4 linked regions of the Anolis sagrei genome follow. The protein of the gene in region 4 purifies or fractionates together with the protein of the main gene of each other region. This does not show direct contact. Links are inferred from orthologs where the notes say so. Each region holds a gene or a part of one and is shown on either strand. Other genes may lie near its edges. The genes, in order: HNRNPU, LARP1, DDX42 and FUS.

Region 1 (6,997 bases), on a different chromosome or scaffold from region 4:
TGATAGGAGATATTTTGTATATTATTTCCAGAACAGAAAGCAAGCATTTATTTATCGTGTCAGAAGCAAATTGAGAATACAGTTATAATGTATAAAAAACACAAATTTAAAACTTGGCATTATGCTAGATTTCCTTTGACTAGAAGCTGACCACTTGGAATGTCTCGCATGTGGCTGTAAGGAGGTCCTCCATTGTGCATGTGGCAGGGCTCATACTGCATTGTAGAAGGTAGTCTGTGGTTTGCTCTTTTCCACACTTGCATTTCATGGACTCCTCTTTGTAGCCCCATTCCTTAAGGTTGGGTCTGCATCTCGTGGTGCCAGAGCACAATCTGTTCAGTGCCTTCCCAGTCACCCAGTCTTCTCTGTGCCCAGGAGGGAGTTTCTCATCTGGTATCAGCCACTGCTTGAGGTGCTGCATTTTAACCTGCCACTTCTGGACTCTCGCTTGCTGAGGTTTTCCTGCAAGTATCTGTAGATCTTAGGAAGCTGTTTCTTGATTTAAGACGTTGGCTTGCTGGCTGATATCCAAACAGGTGATGGGCTGGAGATGTCAATGCCTTGGTACTTTAACTGCTGGCTGCTAGTTCCTGGTGGATATCAGGTGGTGCAATACCGGCTAAACAATATAATTTCTCCAACAGTGTTGGGCATACATGTCCTGTGATAATGTGGCATGTCTCATTAAGAGCCACATCCACTGTTTTAACAGGGTGAGATGTATTCCATACTGGGCATGCGAACTCAGCAGTAGAGTAGCAAAGCGCAAGGGCAGATGTCTTAACTGTATCTGGTTGTGATCCCCAGGTTATGCCAGTCAGATTTCATATGATATTGTTTCTAGCACCCACTTTTTGCTTGATAGTCAAGCAGTGCTTTTTCTAAGTCAGAGCACAGTCCAGACTAACTTCCAGGTATTTGGGTGTGCTGCAGTGCTCCAGTGGGATTCATTCCCAGGTAATCCTGAGCTCGAGATGCTTGTCAGTTCTTAAGATGAAAAGCACATGTCTGTGTTTTAGGTGGAGTAGGAATCAGCTGGGTTTCTTTGTAATAGGCAGTAAGAGTGCCTAAAGCTTTGGGAAGCTTTAGGCACTCTTACTGCCTATTAAAGCTTGAGTGGTGATAGCACAATTGTCAGTATAGATGAAATTCTGTCCCTACTGGCAATAAGCAAGTAAGCCTCTGTATATTAATGGCTGAAGAACACAAGTTCCCACAATCATTTTAAATCTAGTTGCCTATTGTGGGAAGAGAATAAAGGATTGGGTGTACTTGGGCTGTTTATGTGACCTAGTACATCAGCATGATTTTTCTTGCAGAATGCAAGTGAATACTGGATTGTTGTGTCCAGGCTAAATGGGGCTTTATATGTGCGTGTGTGTACACACACCATGAGAAATTACGGTTCTATGACACCACATTCACTTGCAGAAAATAGCGAAGACTTTTAGAAAATACTGATGAAAATGAAAGAAGTTCAAAAGCAACGTGACAATTGAATACTATGAAGACGCAGATTATTCTCCACACCTTTGCTCAATCATTAATCAAAATGAGGAATGCTGCCAATAAACCAGAAGACTTGGAAGTGTGGCCGTGAAGGAACTTGATAAGACCCTCAAGCCTAAAGATGTATTATTAAACATCAAAGTCAGAATAATCCAGATCAAAATGGTTCTTAAGCCTGATAGGAAGAAAATCAACACATTTGAAATTTGAAGAAGAGTCCTGAGAGCTGGCATAGAGTTGCTGTTCTTAACTGCCGTCAGTCAATTTTGACTTTGACCTCAAGTCCCTCTATTGCCAGCCTCCTTTTTAAAATCTTGCTGACTCAGGACTGTGGCTTCCTTTAGTAAGAACCTATCTGGAATACTGTCCGCTTTTTCCTATTGCCTTCTAACTTAACAAGCATTATTGTCTTTTTTAGTGAGCCATGCCTTTTCATGATATGACCAAAATGGTTTCCGTTTATTCATCGAGCGAGAGTTCAGGCTTGATTTCTTCTATGGGTCATTGATTTGTCTTTTTAGCAATCCATGGTGTCCACAGAATTTTTCTTCTGCACTTTTAAAACGGAATGATATTCTTCCTATCAGTTTACCCACTGTTCAGCGCCCTTCATTCTTCAGTTTTCACAACTGTACATAGAAGTGGGGAATACAATCCCATGGTCAGTCCTAAGATACAATGATCTATTTTACACATCAGAAGTTCCTTCATAGCTGTCTTCTTCTGATTTCTTGACTGCAGGCGCCATCCTGAATATCGACCGAGCCAAAGTATGGAGAATCTTTATTTCAATGTCTTTGCTTATTTCTAAGTTATATAGTTGTCATTATTTTTAGTTTGCTCCATGTTCAACTGTAAATTTGCCTTTGCACTTTTGTCCTTGATTTTCTGCAATATTCATTCCAAGTTCTTGCTATTTTTTGCTGGTAGTACGGTATAATCTGTCTATTTTAATTTTTTGATGTCCCCTCCCTAAAGAAATTAGATTGGCCCCCACTCGAGTTCAAAAACATGGCTTTTCAGACAGGCCTTTGACCCTGTATAATCTATGATCAGCTCGAGGATCGAGTCACTCTGCACTTTGATTTGTTACGGCAAATAGCCAGCTTTATTTGCAGATTCTACTGTGGTTTAGAAAATTTTATAATCTTTTACAATTTTTATAATCTTATCAGTTGGGTTTTTATGTGCATTGTTGCTTTAATATTTATCTCACTTTATATACTACCTATGTACTGTTGTTTATAAGCACTTGGGGTGTTTCTGTGAGCCGCTCCGAGTGGTGGTGAGAAGATTTAGACCAGGGGTCCTCAAATTAAGGCCCGAGGGCCAAATACGACCCTCCAAGACTGTTTACCCGGCCCTCGCTCAGGGTCAACCACGTCTGAAATGCCTTGAAAGCATGCAACAACAACAATCCTATCTGATCGGCCAAAAGCAGCCCCACACTTCCCATTGAAATACTAATATATTTCTATTTGTTAAAATTGTTCATTTTAATTATTGTATTGTTTTAAAGTTTTTTTTGCACTACAAATAAGATGTGTGCCGTGTGCATAGGAATTCTTTTTTTTTTTTCAAATTATAATCCGGCCCTCCAACAGTTTAAGGGAATGTGACCTGGCCCCCTGTTTAAAGAGTCTGAGGACCCCTGGTTTAGACCACTTGGCATGGAATGACCCCTTTGGCAGAAAAGATCTTGTAAAACTACAGCTCCCACAAAGCCAAAGCATTGAGCCCTGGCATTTACGTGGTGCCAAACTGCATTAATTCTACAGTGTAAATGCACCCCTTGTTAAGGGGTTTCTGTTGTGTCCAATTCTGGGCACCACAATTCAAGAGAGATGTTGACAAGCTGGAATGTGTCCAGAGGAGGGCAATTAAAATGATAAAGGGTCTGGAGAACAAGCCCTATGAGGAGCGGCTTAAAGAGCTGGGTATGTTTAGCCTGAAGAAGAGAAGGCTGAGAGGAGATATGATAGCTATGTATAAAAATATGTGAAGAGGGAGCGAACTTGTTTTCTGCTTCCTTGGAGAATAGGACGCGGAACAATGGCTTCAAACTACAAGAGAGGAGATTCCATCTGAACATGAGGAAGAACTTCCTGACTGTGAGAGACGTTCAGCAGTGGAACTCTCTGCCCCGGAATGTGGTGGAAGCTCCTTCTTTGGAAGCTTTTAAACAGAGGCTGGGTGGCCATCTGTCAGGGGTGATTTGAATGCAATGTTCCTGCTTCTTGGCAGGGGGTTGGACTGGATGGCCCATGAGGTCTCTTCCAACTCTTTGATTCTATGATAAGGCCTGAAGGCTTTGGCTGCGCACTTACGGTAATGCTGCGCCAGGGCCTGCACTTACGGTAGCGGCGCGGGTGGGAGGGAGGGAGAGAGAGAGGAGGGGGAGAGAGGGAGAGCGGGAGCGCGAAGGGGCGTGGCTAGGCCATATAAGGCGCGGGGCGGGGGCGGGGCAGCGTGGCGTTGCGTGCTCGACCCCGCGAGGCGCGTCCCCGGCCCCTGCCTCGCGAGCCTTGCTGAAAGGATTTGGCGCCAGGCGGGTCTTTCCTTCCTTCCTTGCTTGCTTCCTTCCTTCTCCGCAGCCCCCGAGGAAGGTGATCCGGGCCAGCCGCCGACGTCCAGGCCGCACTCCGCTAGAGCCCCCGCCGCCCACGGAGAGGCCCTCGCCGCTATCGCCATGAGCAGCTCGCCGGTGAACGTGAAGAAGCTGAAGGTGTCGGAGCTCCGCGAGGAGCTGAAGAAGCGGCGCCTCTCCGACAAAGGCCTCAAGGCCGACCTGATGGAGCGGCTCCAGACGGCGCTGGACCGCGAGGAGGCCGGCGGCGGAGGCCTGGCCGAGCCGGGCAACGGCAACGCCGAGGAGGAGGAGGGCGGCGCGGCGGGCGGCGCCTCGGAGCAACTCCTGGCCCCGGCAGCAGGCGGCGGGCCCGGCCAGGCCGCGGCCTACGACGACGAGGAGGAGGAGGCCGAGTTCGGCGGCTGCGCGGAGGAGGAGGACGACGAGGAGGAGGGCATGGAGGTGGGCGAGGAGAACGGCGAGCGGGCCGCCGCCCGGGAGGAGGACTTGGAGGAGGAGGACGAGGACGAGAACGGCGACGACCAGGGCTTCCAGGAGGGCGAGGACGAGGAGGACGAGGCCGCCTCAGCCGCCGCGCCGGCCGGCAGCGGGACCGGGGGCGGCAATGCCAACGGCCACGGGGCCAAGGAGGCTCCCGGCGCCAAGGCAGCCGCGCCCGAGGCCTCCGCGGCTCCGGCGCCTTCGGCCCAGACCGGCGCCAAGCAGGCCTCGTCCGGGGCTCAGTCGCAATCGCAGCCGGCGGCGGCGCCTCAGCAGCAGCAGCAGGCCCAACAGCCCAAGCCCGGAGGGGCCGCGCCGCGTCCTGCGGGTGAGTCGTGCGTGGGGCCCGGATGGGCGTCGGCGGTTGGCGCCTCGGAGCGGGGTCAGGGCGAGGCGCCATCTTGGTTTTCCCCCCCTTTCCCTCCTGTTTCTGTGAAGAAGAGAAAGGGGGGGAAATCTAGGCCTCGCGCGCCAAGAGGCGCCTGTAATGGTGGTGGTGGGATGGGGGAGGGGCTTCCGCCATTTCGCGCGCGCAGGGTGGGGGGGAAGGAGAGAGAGCGCAGCGCGCAGGAGCCGCTGGGGCGCGCTGTGGAGCCCTGCGAGGAGGGAGCGCTTTCTGCCGCTTGCGTCACTTCCGCCCGTGAGGCGCTGCGGGCTCTGGTTCAAACCTTGAGCACAAAAGGAGGCGGGGGAGTCCAGGGAGAGGCAGCGCCTGCCGGAAGCCCCCGCTAGAGGGCGCCCTGACGCCACGCGGGATTTGATTTTCTGTCTTGTCGAAGGCTTTCATGACCGGAATCCCTAAGGTTTTTGGGTAGTATGGCCATGTTCCAGAAGCATTCTCTTCTGGCGTTTCGCCTTAATCTATGGTCTCACAGCCATGCCTGCCATAGATGCAGGCGAAATGTCAGGAGAGAATGCTTCTGGAACATGGCCATACATCCGGAAAACTTGGAGCAACTCATTTTGTCTGTTGTTTGCGTGACTTAATTGTATGGCTTCCAACGTTCCCTTTTTTCCCCCTCCCGCAAAAAGATAATAAAGAAGCCAAATCTGAGCAAAAATCCGGAGAGAAAAAAAGGGGAGTGAAAAGGCCACGTGAAGACCATGGACGAGGTTACTTTGAGTATATTGAGGAGAATAAATACAGCAGGTAAATATAGTAATACACAATTCTTGATATACATATATCCATATATTTTTTTATATATTCATATACATACATATATTTTAATTGTGTGTGTGTATATATATACACATACATACATTATATATATAAAATATGTATTTTTAGTTCATATATAATATCTATTTTTCATTTTTAAAATCCCTATTGATGGATTGTATTCAAGCGATTTCTTTTATTGGTTAGGGCCAAATCTCCGCAGCCACCAGTTGAAGAAGAGGATGAACACTTCGATGACACAGTGGTTTGTCTTGATACTTGTAAGTACAAAAGAAGTGTTCTTGTCTCTTCAAATACATTTTTCAGGATGACAACTGTAATGTATTCAACAGTTGCTTTTATATATTTGTATATATGGATAATATGATCATAGCAGGCATAATTTCAGCTGTAGTTCATATACTTAATATTTTCGGATGTTAGCCTGCTTTTAGTCACATTAGAGCAGGCAGGGGAAAACTTTGGCCCTCCTGGACTTCAACTCCCACAATTCCTAACGACCTCAGGCCCTTTTCCCCCTCAGCTGCTTAAGCTTGAGTGGCTGAAGGGGAAAAGGAAAGGGCCCGAGGCTGTTAGGAATTGTGGGAGTTGAAGTCCAAAACACCAGGTGGGCCAAAGTTTTCCCCTGCCTGCATTAGTCTGTTCATACTAGTGTAAAAGTCATACTAGGTCTAAAAGGCAAAGCATGAAATGAAGAATGTATATTGTCAAACCAGATTTCCATTCTGTACTTTTCCAAAAGAGCTGTTGAAAAAATAAGTTGCCTGAAAACAGCAGATTTTATCTTGTCTTTTCTGGTGTTACGTGCTGGTAGGATTCCATCTGTAATGCAAATATCTTAAATTCTGAGCTTTGCACATTTTTAAAAAACTAGAATTCTGTCAAGTATGTGGAAAAAATGGCAGGTGTGGAGTTACTCTATAGAACAGGGGTTTGAAGTCTTGACCCTGGAAACCCATTGGGTAACCTTGAGCAAGTTGTATACTCTAGAAGCCCCAGAAGGTGGCAAAGGCAAACTCGCTTCAATAGAGTATTTACCAGAAAAGCCCAGTGATGCATTCATTTTCATTAGGATTTCCACAAGTCATTAATGACTTGAAAGCACAGAATGATTTTAAGAAACAAAAGCATGATACCATATTGTTTTATCAAGAGGCCTAAATCCAAAGTTAGAAATAGGAAGTTTCATTACTGGGCAATTCAGAATAGAAAATTCCAGTACTTCGCATCATGGA
Region 2 (7,534 bases), on a different chromosome or scaffold from region 4:
ACTTGGGCCCTCTGGGTGTTTTGGGATTTCAACTCCCACAACTCCCAGCTGTTAGGAATTGTGGGAGCTGAAGTCCAAAACACCCATGCCTGCACTAGCATGTCCTCAAGTCCTGATTTTATTTATGCGAAATGGTGAGCAGGTGACTGCTGTTACATTCACACTGAAGTGAGCATAAGCCTCACACAGCTTATCAACCCTACTCACAAAATGGCACTGCCCTCCCACTGAACTCCAATTACAGTGGTGTGCTCTGGGGTATGGCTCCATGACTCCGGTTGATACATGGATGATGAAGCGGTTAGAAAAATGATGTCCCTTATACAAAATGGGCAAAGCAAGGGGTAGTATTTTTCAACCTGTGGGTCATTGGATCCGTGGATAGGGAGGGCAGAGTATAACAAACTAGGGCCTTTCCACACACTCAGAGTATCAAGACAGAAAATCTGCTTTGAACTGGGTTATCTTGAAGGATCACTACAATCTGAGCCCACACTGCCATATGTATATATTCCAGTTCAAAGTAGATAATGTGGGATTTTATTCTGCTATTCAATCTGAGCCCACACTGCCATATATTCCAGTTCAAAGTAGAAAATGTGGGATTTTATTCTGATATTCAGTCTGAGCCCACACTGCCATATATTCCAGTTCAATGTAGATAATGTGGGATTTGATTCTGCTATTCAGTCTGAGCCCACACTGCCATATATTCCAGTTCAAAGTCGATAATGTGGGATTTGATTCAGGCCCTAGGTAAATAAAAACGACTTTCAGTGTTAAATACTGACTCAATAGAAACAAAATGGAAAAGCCCTGTTGAGTTAACCTACATAGGGCTAAGCCCACGTGGACGTTTGGAAGACCTTTGTCCTGCATTCACCTCCTTTCCCTTCCCCCCAAGACAGGAAGGGTGGGAAGGTGGGGGGGGGGGCAGGGCGCGCGGCCCCGCTGCGGGAAAACCGCCCTCCCCGCAAAACGAACGGCAATACGTTACAGTTAGAAGTCGGCAGCCCACGCGGAAAGCGTTAGCTGAGACACTCGCCCAACTGAGAGGCCTAGCCGTTCCAACCAACCTCCCCTCCTCCTCCTCCCGCCCTTGACGTAGGCTTCCCTGCCACCTCCGCCCTCAGAGTCGAAGGGGCCCTAAAGGGGGGTGGGGAAACTCTCCCCCCCCCCCAGGATTTGGGACTGTGGGGGGGGGGGGAGAGCAGAGAGAGAAGCGGCTACCAGGTCCAAAGAACAAGCCAGGCCCCGGCTATATGAGAGTGTTCGTCACATGCTCGCTCCGAAAGAAAACCACGTTGCCTTTACTGCAGAGGAATGCCGGGAAAGGGAAGAAAAGGGAGGAAGGAAGGAAGGGAAAGGGGGAGGGGGGAGGAGAAGGACGCTCAGAACGCACAGGCGCGCGCACAGGGACAGAGGGGGGGGCGCCCCACTGGGCGGAGGAGCGTTAGGAAGGAGGCGACGGAACGCTCAAACCGCCGCCTGCACGCGGACGCCTCGAGCGCTGCGGAGGGAGGAAAGGAACCAAGGGAGGGAGGGAGGGGGGAAGAGAGAGGGAAGGAGGGAGAACTGCCGACGCCCCCTCCCTCCCTTTACTTAAAGCCGCAGGAGGAAGTCGCCAAGGCACATGGCCCTCGCGCGCAGACCCGCCCGCTCTCGCCCCAAAGCGCAAAATACACTCATCGTGTCTCCAAAAAGCGCAAAATACACCACACACACACACAAAATGGATTGGAAACGAATTGCAAGCCCCTTCCCTCCGCTGTCGTGGTGCCTCCCCTCCCCCTCTTCTTCTTAGTCTCCGCCCCAACGCCATTTAACGAGGGCTCTACCTATATTTAAGGAAAGGAAGCAGCGTGGGGAATAAAAGGGAAGGGAGCAGGAAGGGGAATCCCCACGCGCTCGTTAAAACGTGGTGGGACAGCTTAACCTCTAATGGCGAATCTGGGAGGAGGAAGAGGAGGAGGAAGGGCTCCCAAACACGAGGAAAGGGGGAGGAGGAGGAGGAAGGGGGCGCTGTTCGGGCTGCGAACCCGCCCCATTCTCTCTCCCTCCCCCCTCCCTCCAAGATGTCTGAATCACGCCAAGCCCGCATGGCCCCATCTCCTCCCCTTTGGCTCCCACTTCTGATACTCTATCAAAAGATTTCCATAAGGGTCGCGGAGGGGGAGGAAGAAGAGGAGGGCAGGGTGGGCGCCGCCGGACAAAGGCGGGGTGGAGTTTGACGGGCGAGGGAATGTCACCATCTTGCAGGAGGAGGCCAGGGAGGCTCTTATTTGGCTGTCTTCCCCCAATCGCCCCCGTGTGGACCCACCTGGAGGCGACTGCCCGTTGAGGGCGACGAGCGCGGCGGGGGCGTTCTTGGTCCAGGGGTTCACCTTGGGCGGCGGGGCCTCGATGAACTCCTTGCGCCCGACGCCGCCCTCCTCGCCGCTGGAGCTGCTGTTGCTGCTGCTGGTGGTGGTCTCGCTGCTGCTCCGCTGCTGCAGGAGGTTCTCCTTCTCCTGGTTGTTGCTCTCCTCCTTCTGCTGCTTGATGCTGGGCGGCTTCAGGAGGGCCCCGTTCCGGCGCGGATGCGGCTCGCCTTCCTTGCTGCTGCAGCAGCTGTCGGGCCCGCCGCCCTCCTTGCCGCCGCCCTCCTCCTCCTCGCCGCCACCGCCGTCGGCCTCCTTCTCTCCGCGGGGCGCGAGGCGCTGCTCTCCCTTCTCTCCCGGGGACTTCTTGAGGACGAGGCCGCCGCCCCCGCCGCCGTGCTCCTCGGAAGGCAGCAGAGGGCTGGGCGGCGGGAGGGGCTCCACCTGGGTCGCCATCTGCGCCCCGGAGCCGGCCCGCTCCCCCTTCCTCACTTCTTCCTTTCCTTGCTTGCTTGCTTCCCCCTCCTCCCTCCTTTGCAAGCCCGCCTCGCCCGAGAGCTTTCTTTCCAACCCTCTCTCGGTGAAAGGGCGCAGCGGGAGCCCCAAGACGCCGGCTTCCTGCTCTCACGCCCCCCTCCCTTTGAAGCCCAACCCCCGCCTCGCCGCCCCCCTCCCCTCCCGCTCCCCCGGTTCTCCTCTAATGCCAATGCCCCCGCCGCCGCAGCAGCAGCAATATGGAGAAGCAAGGAGACCACGCGACTGGCCCGGCCAGAGCGAGCGCGCGCGCGCAGCCAGCTCCGCCCGCGTTATCCAGGCCCGGGGAAGGAGGGAGCGCGCGCGCATACAACACACGCACACGCACAGACGCCTTCACGCAGGCAGGCGCGCGCACACACGCACGCTCACGCTCTTTCCCTTTCGCATGACGAGCGCGCCCAGGAGAGGCGGCGCGAGCCCGAGCCCCGGCGGGGCCGGCGCGTGCTGGGTGTCATAGGGAGACGCTCCTTAAAGGGGCAGCGTCGCCGCTCGGGAAGAGAGAAAGGTGGTGGTGGTGGAGGAGGCGGAGCCTTGCCTTCAAACTTCATCGCTGCCAAAGGGCCTTCTGGAGCGAAGTGCTGGCTTTCACCTCCACGGAGGGCCTACTGACTCTGATAAGAGAACCAACAGAACAAAGCCCAAAAGGGGGGAAAAAGGCCTCCCCCTGCGGAGCTGGAGAGTTCTATTTGACTTCCAAATCAAACAAAAACACGGACAAGGTCGGCCTGAAGCCACCACTACCCGATCGATCGCGTGGGGCCTGTTTCCTTGGAAGGAGCCCACCCCGCTCCAGGCAGAAACATGTGCTCAGGGTCGCAGGGCCGGGTTGGTGCTCGCTCGTTCTCTCTCTCTCTCTCTCGAGTACCAGCCTGCGAAGGGAACGTGGAGCAACCACGGCGGAATTAGCGCAGTTTGACACCGCTTTAACTGCCAGGACTCGATGGTATGGGAGCCCCGGGAGTTATAGTTTATTGTGGCGGACAAGGCCAAGCATCTCACAAAACTAAAGGACCAAGTGAGGAAAAGATGTGGGTAGCCTAAGCTGCAGTGGGCTCAGTCTACTGTTCGTCTCTCAGCGGGTAGGCCTCGGCCTGTGGGAAGGAGGCAGGGCCTACTCTTCTTTCAGCTCTAGGCTCCTCTAGTTTTGTGTTGTCTTGACAGCAAAAGAATGTTTATACCGAGTCTTTTGACCAAAGAGAGTTGCCTCCATTTGAATCCAAAGTTTTCCCTCCCCTTTGGTGAGATACCTTTTGGCAGAGAAGGTTAGAGACCTCGTAAAACTACAGCTCCCAAGATGCCAATAGCATTAACATAAAAATTCTAAAGTACAGATGTGCACATAATAATAATAATAACAATAAACCCTACCATCTCCCGCAGGCAGGACTCGATGCGGCTTACAAGAGGCCGAGCCCAAAGTACATCATTAGTAAAAACAACAAGAACAATACAATGCAAAAATAAATAACTCATAACAAAGCAGAACATTAACAAAAAACACGACAATATTAAAAACCTGTGGCAGGGCCAAATGTAATGGTTAAAATTCTAAAAATGCTGGGCATGTCCAGGTGAGGTAGAATGAATATTTTGGAAATAAAAGGGTGTGCAGACAATTCTAATTCTCTCATAAAGTGCATTAGGGACATCCTGTAGTTTCCTCAACCTATCTTATTTATATGTGTGGTATATTTTTTTTCTGAGAGAACCTCATCACACGTCAATCCACTTTAAATGCTGTGACTGCCTCCTAAACTACAAACCCCAGCATTTTGCAGGAGGCAGTCACACCATTTGAAGTGGGAAAATGCTCAAGTGTGATGAGACCCACATGCTTCTCCCCTACGTTTCACCCATACATACAGCCATCCCTCCTGACTGGGGATTTGAATATGGGCCATCCCAGGCCTAGCTATTGGACTGCCTCGCTGCCTATTCAAGTTACATGGCCTTTCGCAAAGACTGCTTCCAAGGAACTTACACTGTAAATGTCAAGCAGTGCAGGGGGGAGGAGAGAGGAGAAAGGAGAGAAACCGGCTAATTCAAGACACCACTGACTAGAAATCAGCAGTGGTTTCTGAACTCTTGTATACACAGCAATATGGACGTATGTGTCAGTTTCAAACAACAGACATTTCAGGTCAAACAGCCCTGAGGATAGATCCAGCATAGCTGTATGCAACACGTTTATTTTTTTAATCAGAAACTTTTTAATTAAGAGATTTCTTTTCATATTACCTTGTGTCTGATGTGGTAAAATTGTGTGCATTTTTTTCATGGCAAAGCTAGCGTCTGAAACAATATCAGGAAGAATACACAGAAATGTATCACGATGAGCAAGAAATTTACATTATTCTTCCAGACACACCCCTGCCAAGAGAGGGATGCAACATAAAAAGTGGCACCCCAAATGTAGATGTATTTATTCTTATACAAAAATGAAGGAAGGTTTGCATTAGTAGTCTTGACAGAGGCACTATATATAGGATTTATATTTCGCCCTTCTCACCCCAAGGGGGACTCAGGGTGCAGCACAACATATATACGGCAAACATTCAATGCCGAAACAAAATAAACTATAAATATACACAATATACACAAACACTAAAATCAGTTATCTCTAAAATCAATTGTTTAAACCCATTTCAGATCAGCCATACTAGAGCTCTCCAGCTGAGAGGTCAAAATAGTCTTCCCTAAATTGCAAATCCCAGGATTTCATAAGAAGGAACTATGGTGGTTAAAGTGTAATTGGCAGTATGACTATGTGTAGTATGAAAGGATTCTTTATGTGACCGTTTCACCTCTTGTGTCCATAATGAGTTATGATAACACTTAACAAGTAAACTTTTGTAGGCATCACTGATCACCATAAACAAGGCCTGAGCATGACTTGGCATTTTTGTTACTTATATGAACAAGCAAACACATGGGATGTCTCATAAATGACAGGACCCCGTTTTTGTTAGTAAAAACCTGAAAAGAAACATATAAAGCAAGACAATGGCAATTCTTAAGCATTTTTTTCTAATATGCAAAAAAAACAACAACAGGTAACTTGCAACTCAGTGAGTGCCCAGCCTCCAATAACACCTGACATACGTACTATTTCCCCCCCCCCTTTTTTTAAATTACACCGTAAGCCCCTTCTACACTGCCATATAATCATTATCAAATCAGATAATCCACATTATCTGCTTTGAACTGGATTATCTGAGTCTTCACTGCCATATAACCCAGTCCAAAGCAGATAATCTGGATTTTATACAGTGTGTAGAATTTGGATTTTATATAGCCTCAGGCCCTTTCTACATTTATTTATTTATTTATTGTATTTATACCCACCCTTCTCATCCCGAAGGGGACTCAGAGTGGCTTACAGAACACACATATGGCAAACATTCAATGCTGATTATACAATTAACAAGGACAGTCAGCACAAACAGAGGTAAAGCCCATTTTACTCATCTTATTTCTGGCATTTTGGACTCCAGCCATGGGGAGGAGGATGCTGTCTTTCCATCATCCATGCCAAGGAGATTTCCTCCAATCAATGTCCTTAAGGGTGCCTTAATTGCCTCCCTGCTAAAAGCGGTACCTATTTTATCTGATTACATTTCTGCTTTCGACCTGCTAGGTATGCAGGTGAGCTGGGGCTAATGGCGGGTGCTCAACCCCAACATTCTGATTTTTCTGCAGCACAGCAGTTTAGCCTGCTGTACTAAGCCTGGCCCTTGTATCTACGCTGTCCTTATATCCCAGGATTTAACCCAGGTTATCTGCTTTGAACTGGATTATACAGTATGAGTCTCCACTGCCACATAATCTGGGATAAACAGTTAAACTGGGATCAGATCCTAGTATATAGAGCTCTGTGGAAGGGGCCTCAGAAACAGTTTCTGTTTTCTTAATTCCATAGGATTCAAGAGTAATCTATAGTGTGACCATAAGACACATATTATAGTAGAGCCTTCTTTGCTGGAAATTTTGAAGGAGGAGTAAGCACTTCCCAGAATGTTGTTTTAAAAAACTGCCATTCTCTGTGGCTGCCATTTCATATGTATTATAAGTGCTATGAGTGTAGAATGGCCAGTTCCATATGCCTTTTGGTAAAGTGAAGAAAACACACATCCAGCATTCCATTTTATTCATAACTTGAGAAGCAATTGTTTCCTCTTGAATTAAGATAGAGGCAACCCTCTGGATCCATGGTTTCAGCTTGATTTTTTTTTAAATTTTACATTTATTCACATAGTTTGAAGGTAATTTTATACATTTATTTATTTATTTATTTCAATTACTTTTACCCCGCCCTTCTCACCCCAAGGGGGACTCAGGGCGACTTACAGACGAAGGCACATAATTTTGTGCATGAAACAAATGTTGTGCACATTGAACTGCCAGAATGTAAAGAGGTCACTATCTCAGCCACCCATGGAGATAATTTTAGATTTTGGAGAATTTCAGTTTTCCTGATAAAGGATACTTACTCAACCTATAATGCCTTTATAATAGCTTGTGATCAGAGCCACCAAGACCTCATTCTCACTTTATAGTAAAACTATGCCAAGAGCATAACATATCAGCACGCATGGCATTTCTCACATAATTGAATGTGAGAGAGACACACACTTATA
Region 3 (7,584 bases), about 15 Mb from region 4:
CACTATTCTTACTTACTAAAATCTCATACTACAGTAAGATATACATCTTTTTCAGGAATACCTCCGTTTCATTATTTATATGGTTATTTATTTTGCTATTCTTGAAATCTCAAAGTGCAATAAAGGAGATTAAAATATAAATAATTATAAAAATGTGATGGTGATAATGATATTTATTTTACCCCACTTTCCTCTTTTAAATTAGGCTTGAAGCTTTTTAAGGCTCACAACCTTAAAAACAATACAGCTATGGCCCTTTTTACACTGCTGTACAAAATCCAGATTACCTGCTTTGGCAGTATAGACTCCTGTAATCCAGTTCAAAGCAGATAATGTAGATTGTCTATTGTGTGATTTTTGGCCTTGATGGCCCTTCCACACAGTCATATAACCCAGAATATCAAGGCAGATAATCCATAATATCCACTTAACTGAGTTATCTAAGTCCACACTGCCATATAATCCAGTTAATGTGGGATTTTATACAGCTGTGTAGAAGGGACTTCATATAATACATTTCAAAGCAAATGTGGATTATCTGCTTTGATAATCTGGATTATATGACAGTGTAGAAGGGGCCTTAGAACCCACAACGTATCATCTATGGTTGGATTATATGAGTCTACATTGCCATATAATCCAGTTCAAAACAGATGATCTGAATTTTATATGACAGAATAGATCCAGCCACAGGGTGTAAACATAAACTGAAAAGCCTGATTTGCATTGATAGCTAGACATAGCTATCAGATAGCCTTTCGGACTACTGACAGCTATTTGTCTTATCAGTCCTACCCAATAGTTATTAGTGGCACAGATTCAAATTTCAATTAACCTCTGATCTATATGTGTGTGTCAAAGTATGTATGTATGTCAGTTTATGCTACAAAGGCTCTTACTTGGTTTGATGGATCTGGGCCAAATTTGGCACACACACTTTTCATGGTCCAATTTAAAATAATTGAGGGGTTTGAACCTTATAAAGTCAAGAACATAGGGAAAGAAAAGGAATGAAGGGGATTAGCTGCTGCCCCTGGTGGAGCCCCTGGTGGCGCAGTGGGTTAAACCCCTGTGCCGGCAGGACTGAAGACCGACAGGTTGCAGGTTCGAATCCGGGGAGAGGCGGATGAGCTCCCTCTATCAGCTCCAGCTCCTCATGCGGGGACATGAGAGAAGCCTCCCACAAGGATGATAGAAAACATCAAATCATCCGGACATCCACTGGGCAACGTCCTTGCAGACGGCCAATTCTCTCATACCAGAAGCGACTACCAGAAGCGGCTTGCAGTTTCTCAAGTTACTCCTTACACGATAAAAAAAAAGCTGCTGCAATGTGAAGTGGCCCTTTGTCACATGACTGAAGAAGAACAGGAGTGAAGCAGACTGGCTGCTGCTTGGTGATACGAATAAAAAAAAGTAACGATCTACACTGCCATATAATCAAGAATATTTACTTTGAACTGGTTTATATGGCAGGTTAGATGTATATAGAGAAGACAATTATGCTGGGGAAAGTGGAAGGCAAAAGGAAGAGGGGCCGACCAAGGGCAAGATGGATGGATGGCATCCTTGAAGTGACTGGACTGACCTTGAGGGAGCTGGGGGTGGTAACGGCCGACAGGGAGCTCTGGCGTGGGCTGGTCCATGAGGTCACGAAGAGTCAGATATGACTGAACGAATGAACAACAACAACAAGATGTATATAATCCACTTCAAAGGAGTTAATGTGGATTATCTGCTTGGATAATCTGGATTATATGACAGTGTAGAAGGAGACTAACTCTGGAGGCCTGGGTTTGAATCCCTGCTTTGCCATTGAAACCCACTGGCTGACAAGTCATGCTCTTTCAACCTCAGAGGAAGGCAAATCTCATTTGGACAAATCTTCCAAGCAAACTTTGTACTATGACCTCTTCCACTCAGCCATATAACCCAGAATTTCAAGGCAGACAATCCACAATATCTGCTTTGAACTGGGGCCCTTTCCACACAGCTGTATAACATCCACATTGAATTGGATAACATGGCAGTGTGGATTCTGATAACCCAGTTTAAAGCAGATATTGTGGATTATCTACCTTGATATTCTGGGTTATATGGCTGGATGGAAGAACCCTAGATTAGGACTTTAGGATTGCTACAATTGGGGAATAATTTGGGGCCCTTCCACATAGCCATATAATCCAGAATATCAAGTCAAATAATCGACAATATCTGTTTTGAACTGGATCATCTGTGGCCCCTTCCACACAGTCAAATAAAATCCCATATTATCTGCTTTGAACTGGAAGATATGGCAGTGTAGACTCAGGGCCTGTCCACACAGCCCTGTATTCCAGAATATCAAGGCAGAAAATCCCACAATATCTGCTTTGAACTGGGTTATCTGAATCCATATTGCCATATAGGCCAGGGTGGTCCATGCCTTAAGTCACCTCTAGACTGGATTACTGTAATGCACTCTACGTGGGGCTGCCCTTGATGGTCCAACGGGCGGCAGCCAGGTTGTTAACCGGGGCTCCTTACAAGGAGCGGTCAACCCTCCTGTTTAAGGAGCTCCACTGGCTGCCATTCATTTTCCGGACCCAATTCAAGGTGCAGGTTCTCACCTGCAAAGCCCTGAACGGTTTGGGACCCGTCTACCTGCGTGACCACATTTCTGTATACGAACCCACACGATCTCTTCGATCACCTGGAGAGGCCCTGCTCACGCTCCCACCTGCATCGCAAGCGTGAGAGGGCCTTTTCGGTGGTGGCCCCTTGACCCTGGAACTCACTTCCTAAGGACATCAGGCATGCCCCAACTCGGCAGTCTTTAGGAGGAGCTTGAAGACGTGGTTGTTCCAGTGTGCTTTCCCAGAATAATGATCCCATAGCACTTTGTCCTCCAAACGCCCCATCACTTTTTCACCCATGTCCAGCATTATTTTTAAATTTTAATTACATTTGGCCTACCCATAGATTTTAAAGTGTGTGGGCCTATTGTTAATGCTTATATTATTGTTTTATTGTTTTGTTTGATTTTAATTGCTTCCATTGTTGTTGTTATTGCTTGTATTGTTGTATTCTGGGCTCGGCCTCATGTAAGCCGCACCGAGTCCCCTGGGGAGATGGTAAGGTAAAGGTAGCCCCCTGACATTAAGTCCAGTCATGTCTGACTCTCCATTTCTAAGCCGAAGAGCCAGCGTTGTCGTAGACACCTCCAAGTTCGTGTGGCTGGCATGACTACATGGAGCGCCGTTACCTTCCCGTCGGAGCGGTACCTATTGATCTACTCACATTTGCATGTTTTCGAACTGCTAGGTTGGCAGAAGCTAGGGCTGACAGCGGAAGCTCACGCCGCTCCCCGGAATCGAACCTGTGACCTTTCGATCAACAAGCTCAGCAGCTCAGTGCTTTAACCCACTGCGCCACCGGGGGCCCCAATGGGGAGATGGTAGCGGGATATAAATAAAAGTTTATTATTATTATTATTATTATTATTATATATTCCATTTCAAAGCAGATGTGGGATTTTATTTAACTGTGTGGAAGGGGGTCAGATAACCCAGTTCAAAGCATATATTGTGGGATTTTCTGCCTTGATATTCTGAGATGTAGGGCTGTGTGTAAGGGCCCTGAATCCACATTGCCATATTATTTATTTATTTACTTTACTTGTATACCGCAGTTTCTCAGCCCAACAGGCGACTCAACGCGGTTTACAACAAGGATAAACAAGGTTTATAACAAGGATAAAATCAATCAACGATATACAATTTAAAACCATAAGAGCATAGTATACAATATTGACACAACAATAAACAAACACAATACATCTTATAACTAGAGTCGTGATCCAATTCGTCGTCCAAATTTCCATTCCTGTAATCATCACATTCATTGCACTGTTTATCTGAATGCCTGTTCAAACATCCAAGTTTTTAATCTTCTTCGGAACACCATTAGTGAGGGGGCTGATCTAACCTCCATAGGGAGGGCGTTCCACAGCCGAGGGGCCACCACAGAAAAGGCCCTGTCTCTCGTCCCCGCCAGCCGCACCTGTGAAGCAGGCGGGATAGAGAGCAGGGCCTCCCCAGAAGATCTTAGGGTCCTGGCGGGCTGATAGGCAGAGATACGTTCGGATAGGTAACTTGGGCCAGAACCGTTTAGGGCTTTATAGGCCAGCGCCTGCACTTTGAATTGAGCCCGGTAGCAAATCGGGAGCCAGTGGAGCTGGTGCAGCAGAGGAGTTGTGTGCTCCCTGCGCTCTGCTCCTGTTACTATCATGGCTGCCGAGCGTTGGACTAGTTAGAGCTTCCGAGCCGTCTTCAAAGGCAACCCCACGTATATAATCCAGCTCAATGTGGATTTTTTAGAGCTGTGTGGAAGAGGCTTTGAAGGAACAAAATAATAAAATGAAATACGGAAAGCCCTAATTAACCAGAGCTCTACACAAGCCTCCTCCTGCTTAAAAGAGCCCATAAGGAAATAAAGGCACGTGTGACTCTTTCTTCTGACTCTACGGTGCTGCGCCTACTTATAACGTAAGCAGCCGCCACTGTCGATGGCGTCACCACGGAGGAGGACAGCGCGAGCGAGCCGTTGCGCGGTGACGTCATCGCGTCACGGTGGCCAACGTCGCGCCCCGTTTCTTCCCTCGTAGTAAAAGAGTGGAGTTCTGAGGGACGGCGGGAGAAAGGGCGGAAAAAGGAAGTGTCACACAAGGTGGTGGGTAAGAAGCGGGGAAATAAACACTGGGGGAAAGGAAGTAAAGGCGCAGGAAGCGCTGCCAGGCCTTGTGGGGTCGCTGGGGAAGAAGGAAGGGGAAGGGGGCGGGGCTGCGGCCTAGCGGAGCCACAGAAGCCTTTGGAGCTGATCCCGTTCTGTTTGTCTCCCCTCCGCCAGGCGACCTGGTCTCTCGCCTCCAGAGGAATCCGCCGGACTCTTGCCAAAGGTGACCAAGTAGGCGTGAAGCTTGAGCAGGTATTGACACTGAGGCGACGGGGGAAAGCGGCTTCCTCCAGAGGTCCTGATCCAAGCGGCCTCAGGGTGCATCTCCATGACAGAATTAATGCACTCAGTTCTTGTGGGTTTTTTTCGTGCTATATGGCCATGTTCTAGAGGCATTTCTCCTGACGTTTCGCCTGCATCTATGGCAAGCATCCTCAGAGGTAGTGAGGTCTGCTGGAACTAGGAAAAAGGGTTTATATATCTGTGGAATGACCAGGGTGAGACAAAGGGCTTTTGTAAGTTGGGCTAGGTGTTAATCTTTCAACTGACCACCTTGATTAGCATACAATGGGCTGACTGTGCCTGGAGCAAACTAGTTCCAGTAGACCTCACTACCTCTGAGGATGCTTGCCATAGATGCAGGCGAAACGTCAGGAGAAATGCCTCTAGAACATGGCCATATAGCCCGAAAAAACCCACAAGAACTGAGTGATTCCAGCCATGAAAGCCTTCGACAATACATAGAATTAATGCAGTTTGACATGACTTGGAACTGCTATTGGAACTGTACGCTTTGTAAGCCTTCGCTGTCTAAGAATGCGGTTGTCTCACCAAATCACAACTCCCAGGATCCTCAAGCATTGTGCACTGGCAGTTATGGTGATGTGAAACTGCATTAATTATATAGCGTAAATCTGGCAAACTCCCCCCCCCCCCAGGTGTTTTGGACTTCAAATCCCACAATTCCTAACAACCTATGGCTGTTAGGAAGTGTGGGGGTTAAAGTCCAAAACACAAGGAGGGACCAAATTTGTCCATGCCTGGTGTAGATGCACCCTCAGACTTACCTTCATTCATGACTGCTCACCCTACACTTTTAGTATTTTGTCTGGGTTTTTTTTTGCTTTGTTCTGTTAGAAATGTAATATAATCAACTGGTTGCACTGACACTATAAATAAATAAATAAATAAATAACCCTACACTGAAAAGTGACTGTTATTCCAGTTTCATAGGTCATTGGGTAAATGAGAGAGCAAAGTATGCCTTTAATCATTTAGAATAGTGTTTCTCAATTTATTTATTTATTTCGAGCGCTTATACCCCACCCTTCTCAATCCCCTAGGGGGGACTCAGGGCGGCTTACAAAAGGCACAATTCGATGCCTAACAGTTCACAAAATAAAATATAACAACAACAACTATAACTAGTTAAAACAATCCAATTAATACAATAGCAGCAATAAAATCATCTTGTGGTCAATGTTCGCCAATTCATAAATCCATAGTCCATCCAGCATTATCCTTTCCTACTCTGGTTGTCATTGTCCTTTATCCATCTGCCAGCTTACCCAAAGGCCTGGTCCCATATCCAGGTTTTTAACTTCCTTCTGAAAGAGAGGAAAGAGAGGAGGGATGCTGATGACCTAATTTCCCCGGGGAGTGAATTCCACAGGCGAGGGGCCACCACCGAGAAGGCCCTGTCCCTCGTCCCCACCAGCCTCTCAAACTCAGCTCCTCCAAATATTTTGGACTTCAGCTCCCGCAATTCCTAACAGCTGAACCCGACCCTCCTGACAATGAGCCATCTAGCCATAGATGTAGATAGATATATATGATTCACACACACACACACAGATATTTATTTATTTATTTATTTATTTATTTAGTACACTTGTATACCGCTAATATCTCAGCCTGTGCGGCGACTCATTGCGGTTTACAACATATTTAAAAATACAATATTCACTTTAAAAATATAAAATAAAATATAAAAATACATACATATACATACATAGTATTGGGCCACCAATACAGACCGGAACATCTCATAGTTAAAGTCGTAATCCAATTCGTTATCCTTGATTGCTAGTCCATGATCAAAACATCATCACATCGGAATTAGTTGAAAACTTGCTCGAACATCCAAGTTTTCAGTTTTTTCCGAAATGCCATTAGCGAGGTGGCTGATCTTATTTCAGTAGGGAGGGCATTCCAAAGCCGGGGGGCCACCACAGAAAAGGCCCTATCTCTCGTTCCCGCAAGCCGCACTTGTGAAGCAGGCGGGATGGAGAGAAGGGCTTCTCCTGAAGATCTTAGGGTCCTGGTGGGCTGATAGGCCGAGATACGTTCGGATAGGTATGTAGGGCCAGAACCATTTAGGGCTTTAAAGGTCAAAGCCAGCACTTTGAATTGGGCTCGGTAGCTAATCGGTAGCCAGTGGAGCTGGTACAGCAGAGGAGTTGTATGCTCCCTGCGCCCTGCTCCTGTTAATACCATGGCTGCCGCCCGTTGGACTAATTGGAGCTTCCGGGCCGTCTTCAAAGGCAACCCCACGTAGAGAGCGTTGCAGTAGTCAAGGCGGGATGTAACCAGAGCGTGGACTACCGTGGCCAAGTCAGACTTCCCAAGGTACGGTCGCAGTTGGCGCACGAGTCTTAACTGTGCGAATGCTCCCCTGGTCACCGCCGAAACCTGGGGATCCAGGCTCAGCGATGAGTCCAGGATCACACCCAAACTGCGAACCTGTGTCTTCAGGGGGAGTGCGACCCCGTCTAACACAGGCTGTAACCCTATACCCTGTTCGGCCCTGCGACTGACCAGGAGTACCTCTGTCTTGTCTGGATTCAATTTCAATTTGTTCGCCCCCATCCA
Region 4 (7,498 bases):
GTTGGTACTAATGTTGGAGAGTGATCCCTGGTCAAAGTGGTCCCTGGTCAAAAAAAGGTTGGGAACCACTGAGTTACAACAACTTAGGGAACTGGGCATGTTTAGCCTGAAGAAGAGAAGGCTGAGAGGAGATATGATAGCCATGTATAAATATGTGAGAGGAAGCCACAGGGAGGAGGGAGCAAGCTTGTTTTCTGCTTCCTTGGAGACTAGGACGCGGAACAATGGCTTCAAACTACAAGAGAGGAGATTCCATCTGAACATTAGGAAGAACTTCCTGACTGTGAGAGCCGTTCAGCAGTGGAACTCTCTGCCCTGGAGTGTGGTGGAGGCTCCTTCTTTGGAAGCTTTTAAGCAGAGGCTGGATGGCCATTTGTCAGGGGTGATTTGAATGCAATATTCCTGCTTCTTGGCAGGGGGTTGGACTGGATGGCCCATGAGGTCTCTTCCAACTCTTTGATTCTATGATTCTATGAACTTAACTTTGATTTTGTTTTAATAGTTCTCAGCCTGTGGGTCCCCAGGTGGTTTGGCCTACAACTCCCAGAAATTCCAGTCAGTTTACCAGCTGTTAGGATTCCCCTTCAGGAGAGATAAAGCTCAAGGGCCAGGCTTCCCAGTTCTCTGTGTCTATGCCACAGTTTTTAAGGTTGGCTTTAAGCCCATCTTTAACTCTCTTTTCCTGTCCACCAACATTCCATTTTCCATTCTTGAGTTGGGAGTATAGTACCTGCTTTGGGCATTCAGACAACATGGCCAGTCCAGCGAAATTGTTGCTGTTGTTGTTGTTATTATTATTTGATACAAACCAAAATTAGTACACAGCAAACAAGATTACTATACTGGCTTTTGTATTAGATCACATGCCGGACACTTCCCAAGTGTCTAGGATTGTGTGATGTATCGGCTAATAATGCATGCAGATGCCAGTAGGGTGGCCTTTTGCAGCTGACAGATGGTAATTTTTATCAGCGCTGATTGTTTTTAAGTGCAGGCCAAGGTCTTTAGCTACTGCACTCAGTATGCTGATCACCCCTGGGATCACCTTTACTGGCTTGTGCCAGAGTCTTTGCAGTTATTTAAATCCTCATATCTAAGCTTTTCCAGTTGCTTCTCATCAATCCTGCTGTCGCCTGGGATGATGATGATTATATCAAAACTCTAGAAGGTGCTTATCCTTGTATGGCATACAGTACAGATTCAAGTGTAAAATCTAGTTTGTGAAATATTAATGCCTCCATTTATTCAGTGGGGGCCAATTACTTCCTTTGAAACACAAGTTCTTTATCCAGAAATCTGAAAGATGCTGCAAAATTGTCCACATGGGTGGCTTCTGTTGATTCAGTGTACACCAGCTTTATATTAAGGCACAAAATTATTAAATTATAAATAGAAAATTATCTTCAGACTATTTATGCAAAGTGTATATTAAACATAAATGAATTTTGATTTTAGTCTTGAGTCCCATCTCCAATATATCTCATGAAATCTATCTATCTAGCTATCTGGGAATGAAAACTGAAATCAAAAATACTTTTGGTCCAAAGCATTTCGTTAGGATTTTACCTGTTAATTTTAATTAATACCATTGATGTTTCTATTTCTGTACCATCAGTCGAGGGGCCCTCCCCCCAGCACCAACTGCTGCTCTGGGGTTAGAGTGAGGAGGGGAGGCCAGGAAGACAGTTCCACCTTATCTCCTGTGCCCTCATTTGGGGGCTCTTCCCCCCAGCAACAATATAGTACTATATATTTAAACTGCTGAGCTGCTGAACTTGATCGAAAGGTCGCAGGTGCAAATCCGGGGAGTGGTGTGAGCTCCTGCTGTTAGCCTCAGCTTCTTGCAACCTAGCAGTTCGAAAACATGCAAATGTGAGTTGATCAATAGGTACTACTCTGGCAGAAAGGTAATGGTGCTCCATGCAGTCATTCCGGCCACATGACCTTGGAGGTGTCTATAGACAACGCCGACTCTTCGGCTTACACATGGAGATGAGCAACAACCCCCAGAGTCGGACACAACTAGACTTAATATCGGGGGGAACCTTTACCTTTACTTTATAATCACCAAGGACTGGGAAGCCCTGGCATTTTGGCACTAGTCAGCTGCAAGGGTGCTATGGATTTTGATGGGGAAGGGAAACAGGGTTTCTTGCAGCCAGGAAATCAGAAGATATTTACTTCTTGGGAGGAGAGCAATGACCAAAATTGATAAAATAATAAAGAGTAGAGACATCACACTGGCAACAAAGATCCACATAGATAATGCAATGGTATTCCCCGTAGTAACCTATGGATGTGAGAGCTGAACCATAAGGAAGACTGAGCAAAAGTAGATGCTTTTGAGCTGTAGTGAGGAAAATTCTAAGAGTGCCTTGGACTGTAAGAAGATCCAACCAGTCCATCCTCCAGGAAACAAAGCCCGACTGCTCATTGGAGGGAAGGATACTAGAGGCAAAGTTGAAGTACTTTGGCCACATCATGAGGAGACAGGAAAGCCTAGAGAAGACAATGATGCTGGGGAAAGTGGAAGGTAAAAGGAAGAGGGGCCGACCAAGGGCAAGATGGATGGATGGCATCTTTGAAGTGACTGGACTGACCTTGAAGGAGCTGGGGGTGGTGACGGCCGACAGGGAGCTCTGGCATGGGCTGGTCCATGAGGTCACAAAGAGTCGGAAATGACTGAACGAATGAACAACAATAATAAAATACAATAATATTACTTATATATTATATATTACGTGTAACATTACTAATGATATTACAGTATAGTGGCATAGTACAATATAGTAATATATAATGCCAATATTGTGCTAGGCTAATAATATAAGACACTAGCTGTCCCCTGCCACGCGTTGCTGTGGCCCAGTCTGGTGATCTGGATATGAAGTAATGAGAATGTGTTGGTTTCTAATATATGTAATGTCTTTATGCTTGAGGGTAAACAGTATTTCTCGTTGTTTCTTTGCCAGTGTTGATGTGGAGATTGTCTGGTTTGCCTACTCTGGAACATGTAACATATCATTGTCCTTCTTTAGGGGTCCCTTTCAAATCTTTGATACTGCATCTGTCATATACATATATGTGTGTGTGTGAATGGCTGGATGGCCCTTTGTCAGGAGGCTTTGTTTTGTTGCCCTGGTGAAGGGAGCTGGGCTGGATGACCTTAAGGCAGCATTTCTCAACCTGGGAAGTCAATACACCCGGGGGGGGGGGGGGTCACCAGGGGGGTGTCAGAAGGGTCCCCAAAGACCACCAGGAAACACAGTATTTCCTGTCGGTCATGGGGGTTTTGTGTGGGATGTTTGGCCCAATTCCATCGTTGGTGAGGTTTGAAATGCTCCTTGATTGTAGGTGAACTATAAATCCCAGTAACTACAACTCCCAAATGTCAAGGTTTATTTCCCCCAAACTCCATCTGTGTTTATATTTGGGCATATTGAGTATTCATGCCAAATTTGGTCCAGATCCATCATTGTTTGAGTCCACAGTGCCTTGTGGATATAGGTGAACTACAACTCCCAAACTCAAGGTCAATGCTCTCCAAACCCTTCCAGTATTTTCTGTTGGTCATGGGAGTTCTGTGGTTCAATTCTATCGTTGGTGGAGTTCAGAATGCTCTTTGATTGTAGCTGAGCTATAAATCCCAGCAACTACAACTCCCAAATGACAAAATCGTAATTTTTGATTGATGGTCACTCCTTGTGTAGTGAGACATTTTGTTGCCAAATTTGGTGTGATTTCGCTCATTGGTTCTTTTCTTTTTATGGTACGCATTATGCACAGAGCATTTATATAGATAGATAGATAGATAGATAGATAGATAGTATGTACATATAAGCGCTCTGAATCCTCTTCGGGGTGAGAGGGGGCAGGGGATAAATATAGTAAATAAATAAATATTTTAATGTTTGTATATTTTTGGATTTTAATTGGTGCTGAGATTCTTTTCATAGAATCATTGAGCTGGAAGAGACCTCGTGGGCCATTTAGACCAACCCCCCTGCTAAGAAGCAGGAAAAGAATGTAGTGTAAACGGGCTGCAAATAACAACAACAATATAGGAGTCGTTAAATATATTATAATCCACTGGAGAAAATGTCTTGTTTGTCTTCAGAAGCAATTTCCCATTTATTTATTTATTTTGCTTCTTCCTTTTCTGACCCCCTTCTTTGCCAATTTGGTTGCTTCCAGTCTTCCTCTGTGAGCTCACCCTAACCTCCGTTCTATATGGACTGTACCATTTCAGTGCGGTAGGGGGGGGGTTGGAATCCCATTCTGTTGGAAACCAGTCCCGTGAATTAACCTCGCCTGTTAATTATTTAAATCAATGATTGATATTAGCTTGGGATTCTTTGGGAGGAGATGGCGGCGAGTTGTTCAGTTTAGTGGGGAGAGGAAACGATGTCTATTCTCGGCTCTCCCCCCACAAACTAACATGGTTCGGCCTAAAGGCTGAATGGGAGGGGGAAGTATATAAAGGAAAGAGCGGGCTGGGAAAGCGCTCGGAGGCAAGGAGACGGGAAGGAAGGTTGCTTTTGGCCGCTTTGGGGGGAGACTTGGAGGGGTCTACAGCAATGGCGTCTAACGGTGAGGAAGAGGATACAAAAGGGTGTAATATATTGAATTTTGTAGCGGGTGCAATGCTTGAATCCAGAGTGGAGCCATTGAATCAGCGAGTTTGACTCACCAGGAGGAATTAAGATTCAATGGTTGTATTCTTGGTTCTGATAAACTAAAACTAAAGATTGCAATGGGGTTGGAATAGGATTTTCAAAGGGATTGGGTCTCCTAGGATGTGTTTTCCCTTTCTCTGGGGGTTACACGATTCCTTTACATGCATAGATCTTTATTGCGAAATAGATTGGGTATTGTATTGTCGAAGGCTTTCATGGCTGGAATCAATAGGTTCTTGTGGGTTTTTTCGGGCTATATGGTCATGTTCTAGAGGCATTTTCTCCTGACGTTTCGCCTGCATCTATGGCAAGCATCCTCAGAGGTAGTGAGGTCTGATAGAACTAGGACAATGGGTTTATATATCTGTGGGAAGACCAGGGTGAGGCAAAGAACTCTTGTCTGCTGGAGCTAGGTGTGACTGTTTCAACTGACCACCTTCATTAGCATTTGAAGGCCTGGCTGAGCCTGGGAGAATCTTTTGTTGAGAGGTGAAACATTCACACCTAGCTCCAGCAGAGAAGAGCTCTTGGCCCCACCCCAGTCACCCCACCCTCTGGCCATATAGCCCGAAAAAACGCACAAGAACAGATTGGGTATTATTACAACGGAGGCCATTTTGTACCCCATTTGAATAGGGTGACTTCCATTTTACGGAGCGAAAGGCCCCTTAAATAGCGGTTTCATATGGAAATAGTATTATGGTTGGGTTTATATACTAAGGGGTAATATTCGGAGGCCATGCCGGTCGCTTTTGGCTGTCTAGAAGGAAGAGATCTTGAACTGCGCCATTATTCGCCGCCATTTTGTGCCAGCGTGAGAACTAGGCCACGAGGAGGGGCAGTTCCGCTCTGGAAGGAGCGCGAGGGAGGGCTGGGCTTTTATAGGGAGGGGAAGGAGACGGGGCTCCCCATGGCAACGACACACGGGCAGTGTTCGGCAGCTGCGCATGCGCGAGTGAACACGCTGAGGGGGAGGAATAGACAATGGAAAAGTACTCGAGGTGTGTGCCGGCGTTTCAGATGCTTAGTTAGGAGAGGAAGGAGCGGCGCGCGCATGCGCTGGGGAAAGAAAAGCTTGCGCATGCGTATACAAGGCTGTTTGTCGCAGTGTTACATCCGGGCCCTTGCCCTTCCCCATTCCTTTGGAACGTTGTCCACCCCGTTGAGTCATTCTCTTCACCGCCCACGAGCTCAACTGTCATTTTTTTTGCCCTCTTCGCGGGATCCGCGCATGCGCAGGAAGCCCCTTTGACTTCTCATTTAAAGCGCTGATGGTTCTGATTCCAGCTCTTCTATTCTTTGTTACCTCAGCAGCCTCTACTTGTGTGGGGGCGACTTCTCATACACACAGACACATATATATAAATAACTCTGGAGGCCCATGGGTGGGTTTGCTTCTTTTTACAGCATTTCCTGATCCATAATGTGTCTAGATCTAGGGAAGTCATGCTACCCATGCTCTATTCTGCTTTGGTTAGACCACACCTGGAATATTGTGTCAAATTCTGGGCACCACAATTCAAGAGAGATATTGACAAGCTGGAATGTGTCCAGAGGAGAGCGACTAAAATGATAAAGGGTCTGGAGAACAAGCCCTATGAGGAGCGGCTTAAGGAGCTGGGCATGTTTATCCTGAAGAAGAGAAGGCTGAGAGGGGATATGATAGCAATATATAAATATGTGAGAGGAAGCCACAGGGAGGAGGGAGCAAGCTTGTTTTCTGCTGGCCTGGAGGCTAGGACGCGGAACAATGGCTTCAAACTACAAGAGAGGAGATTCCATCTGAACATGAGGAAGAACTTCCTGACTGTGAGAGCCGTTCAGCAGTGGAACTCTCTGCCCCAGAGTGTGGTGGAGGCTCCTTCTTTGAAAGCTTTTAAACAGAGGCTGGATGGCCATCTGTCAGGGGTGATTTGAATGCAATATTCCTACTTCTTGGCAGGGGGTTGGACTGGATGGCCCATGAGGTCTCTTCCAACTCTTTGATTCTATGATTCTATAATACAATGTAATTTTTTCTCCTCCCCAATGAAGGCGTTCATAGAGCAGCCATGGCCAAACTTAGGCCCTCCATGTGTTTTGGACTTCAACTCCCACCATTCCTAACAGCCTCAAGCCCTTTCCTTTTACCCCCTCAGATGAGGCTGTTAGGAATGATGGGAGTTGAAGTCCAAAACATCTGGAGGGCCCAAGTTTGGCCATGACTGTTCTAGAAAAAGCTATAGTTGTGACTCAAGGGGAAAGATGTTGATTTTGTCTTCCTGCACAAAGGCAGTGTATCTGTTTTGTAGAAATTGGATTAGGATAATTATTTATTATTTACTTCATTTATATACCGCTTTTCTCAGCCCTCAGGCGACTCAAAGCGGTTAACAACAGCAAAATTCAATGCAAAAACATCACAAAACAAATATGGGACAGTTAAAACAGTAGCATCATCAACGATAAAACATCAATATAACAATCATTAGTATCTCATCAGTAAAATCCGAATCCAATCTCATCATCCATTATTCCATATTCCTATATTCAATTATACTGCTTAATCAAATGCCTGCTCGAACATGCCTCAGGCCTCTGTGAATTTTCCTGTCCTCCATTTGTGTGTGCGCTTGTTTATGTTTGTTTATTCTATTTTGGTAGAATGTTGTGACTTGTCCCCGAGACACACAGAACAAATAATGTGGTGGAACAAGAGGGACTTGTGTAGCTTCTCTTCCTAGCTGTCTGGCCTCATTTACACTGCTATATAATGCAGTTTAATTGTGTTGAGCTGCATGATGTGAGTCTACGCTACCCATATAATGCAATTTCAAGCTGCA

The links.
Region 1: the proteins of FUS (region 4) and HNRNPU purify together in Homo sapiens (affinity purification with mass spectrometry; 7 studies listed by BioGRID and IntAct, with this or other methods). This does not show direct contact. The link is inferred for Anolis sagrei from reciprocal best matches to the Homo sapiens genes FUS and HNRNPU.
Region 2: the proteins of FUS (region 4) and LARP1 purify together in Homo sapiens (affinity purification with mass spectrometry; 3 studies listed by BioGRID and IntAct, with this or other methods). This does not show direct contact. The link is inferred for Anolis sagrei from reciprocal best matches to the Homo sapiens genes FUS and LARP1.
Region 3: the proteins of FUS (region 4) and DDX42 purify together in Homo sapiens (affinity purification with mass spectrometry; 3 studies listed by BioGRID and IntAct, with this or other methods). This does not show direct contact. The link is inferred for Anolis sagrei from reciprocal best matches to the Homo sapiens genes FUS and DDX42.

Annotation. Positions count from the first base shown.
Region 1 is NC_090021.1:54,921,080-54,928,076, forward strand, and holds the start of HNRNPU (heterogeneous nuclear ribonucleoprotein U), read left to right. Parts: upstream 1-3,981; 5' UTR 3,982-4,198; coding exon 4,199-4,907; intron 4,908-5,611; coding exon 5,612-5,729; intron 5,730-5,948; coding exon 5,949-6,022; intron 6,023-6,997. UniProt on the Homo sapiens protein: DNA- and RNA-binding protein involved in several cellular processes such as nuclear chromatin organization, telomere-length regulation, transcription, mRNA alternative splicing and stability, Xist-mediated transcriptional silencing and mitotic cell progression.
Region 2 is NC_090022.1:81,925,987-81,933,520, forward strand, and holds the start of LARP1 (la-related protein 1), read right to left. Parts: upstream 3,008-7,534; 5' UTR 2,817-3,007; coding exon 2,321-2,816; intron 1-2,320. UniProt on the Homo sapiens protein: RNA-binding protein that regulates the translation of specific target mRNA species downstream of the mTORC1 complex, in function of growth signals and nutrient availability.
Region 3 is NC_090026.1:29,726,699-29,734,282, reverse strand, and holds the start of DDX42 (ATP-dependent RNA helicase DDX42), read left to right. Parts: upstream 1-4,573; 5' UTR 4,574-4,710; exon of another isoform or gene 4,711-4,714; intron 4,715-4,887; 5' UTR 4,888-4,965; intron 4,966-7,584. UniProt on the Homo sapiens protein: ATP-dependent RNA helicase that binds to partially double-stranded RNAs (dsRNAs) in order to unwind RNA secondary structures. Unwinding is promoted in the presence of single-strand binding proteins.
Region 4 is NC_090026.1:14,970,326-14,977,823, forward strand, and holds the start of FUS (RNA-binding protein FUS), read left to right. Parts: upstream 1-4,485; 5' UTR 4,486-4,577; coding exon 4,578-4,590; intron 4,591-7,498. UniProt on the Homo sapiens protein: DNA/RNA-binding protein that plays a role in various cellular processes such as transcription regulation, RNA splicing, RNA transport, DNA repair and damage response. Binds to ssRNA containing the consensus sequence 5'-AGGUAA-3'.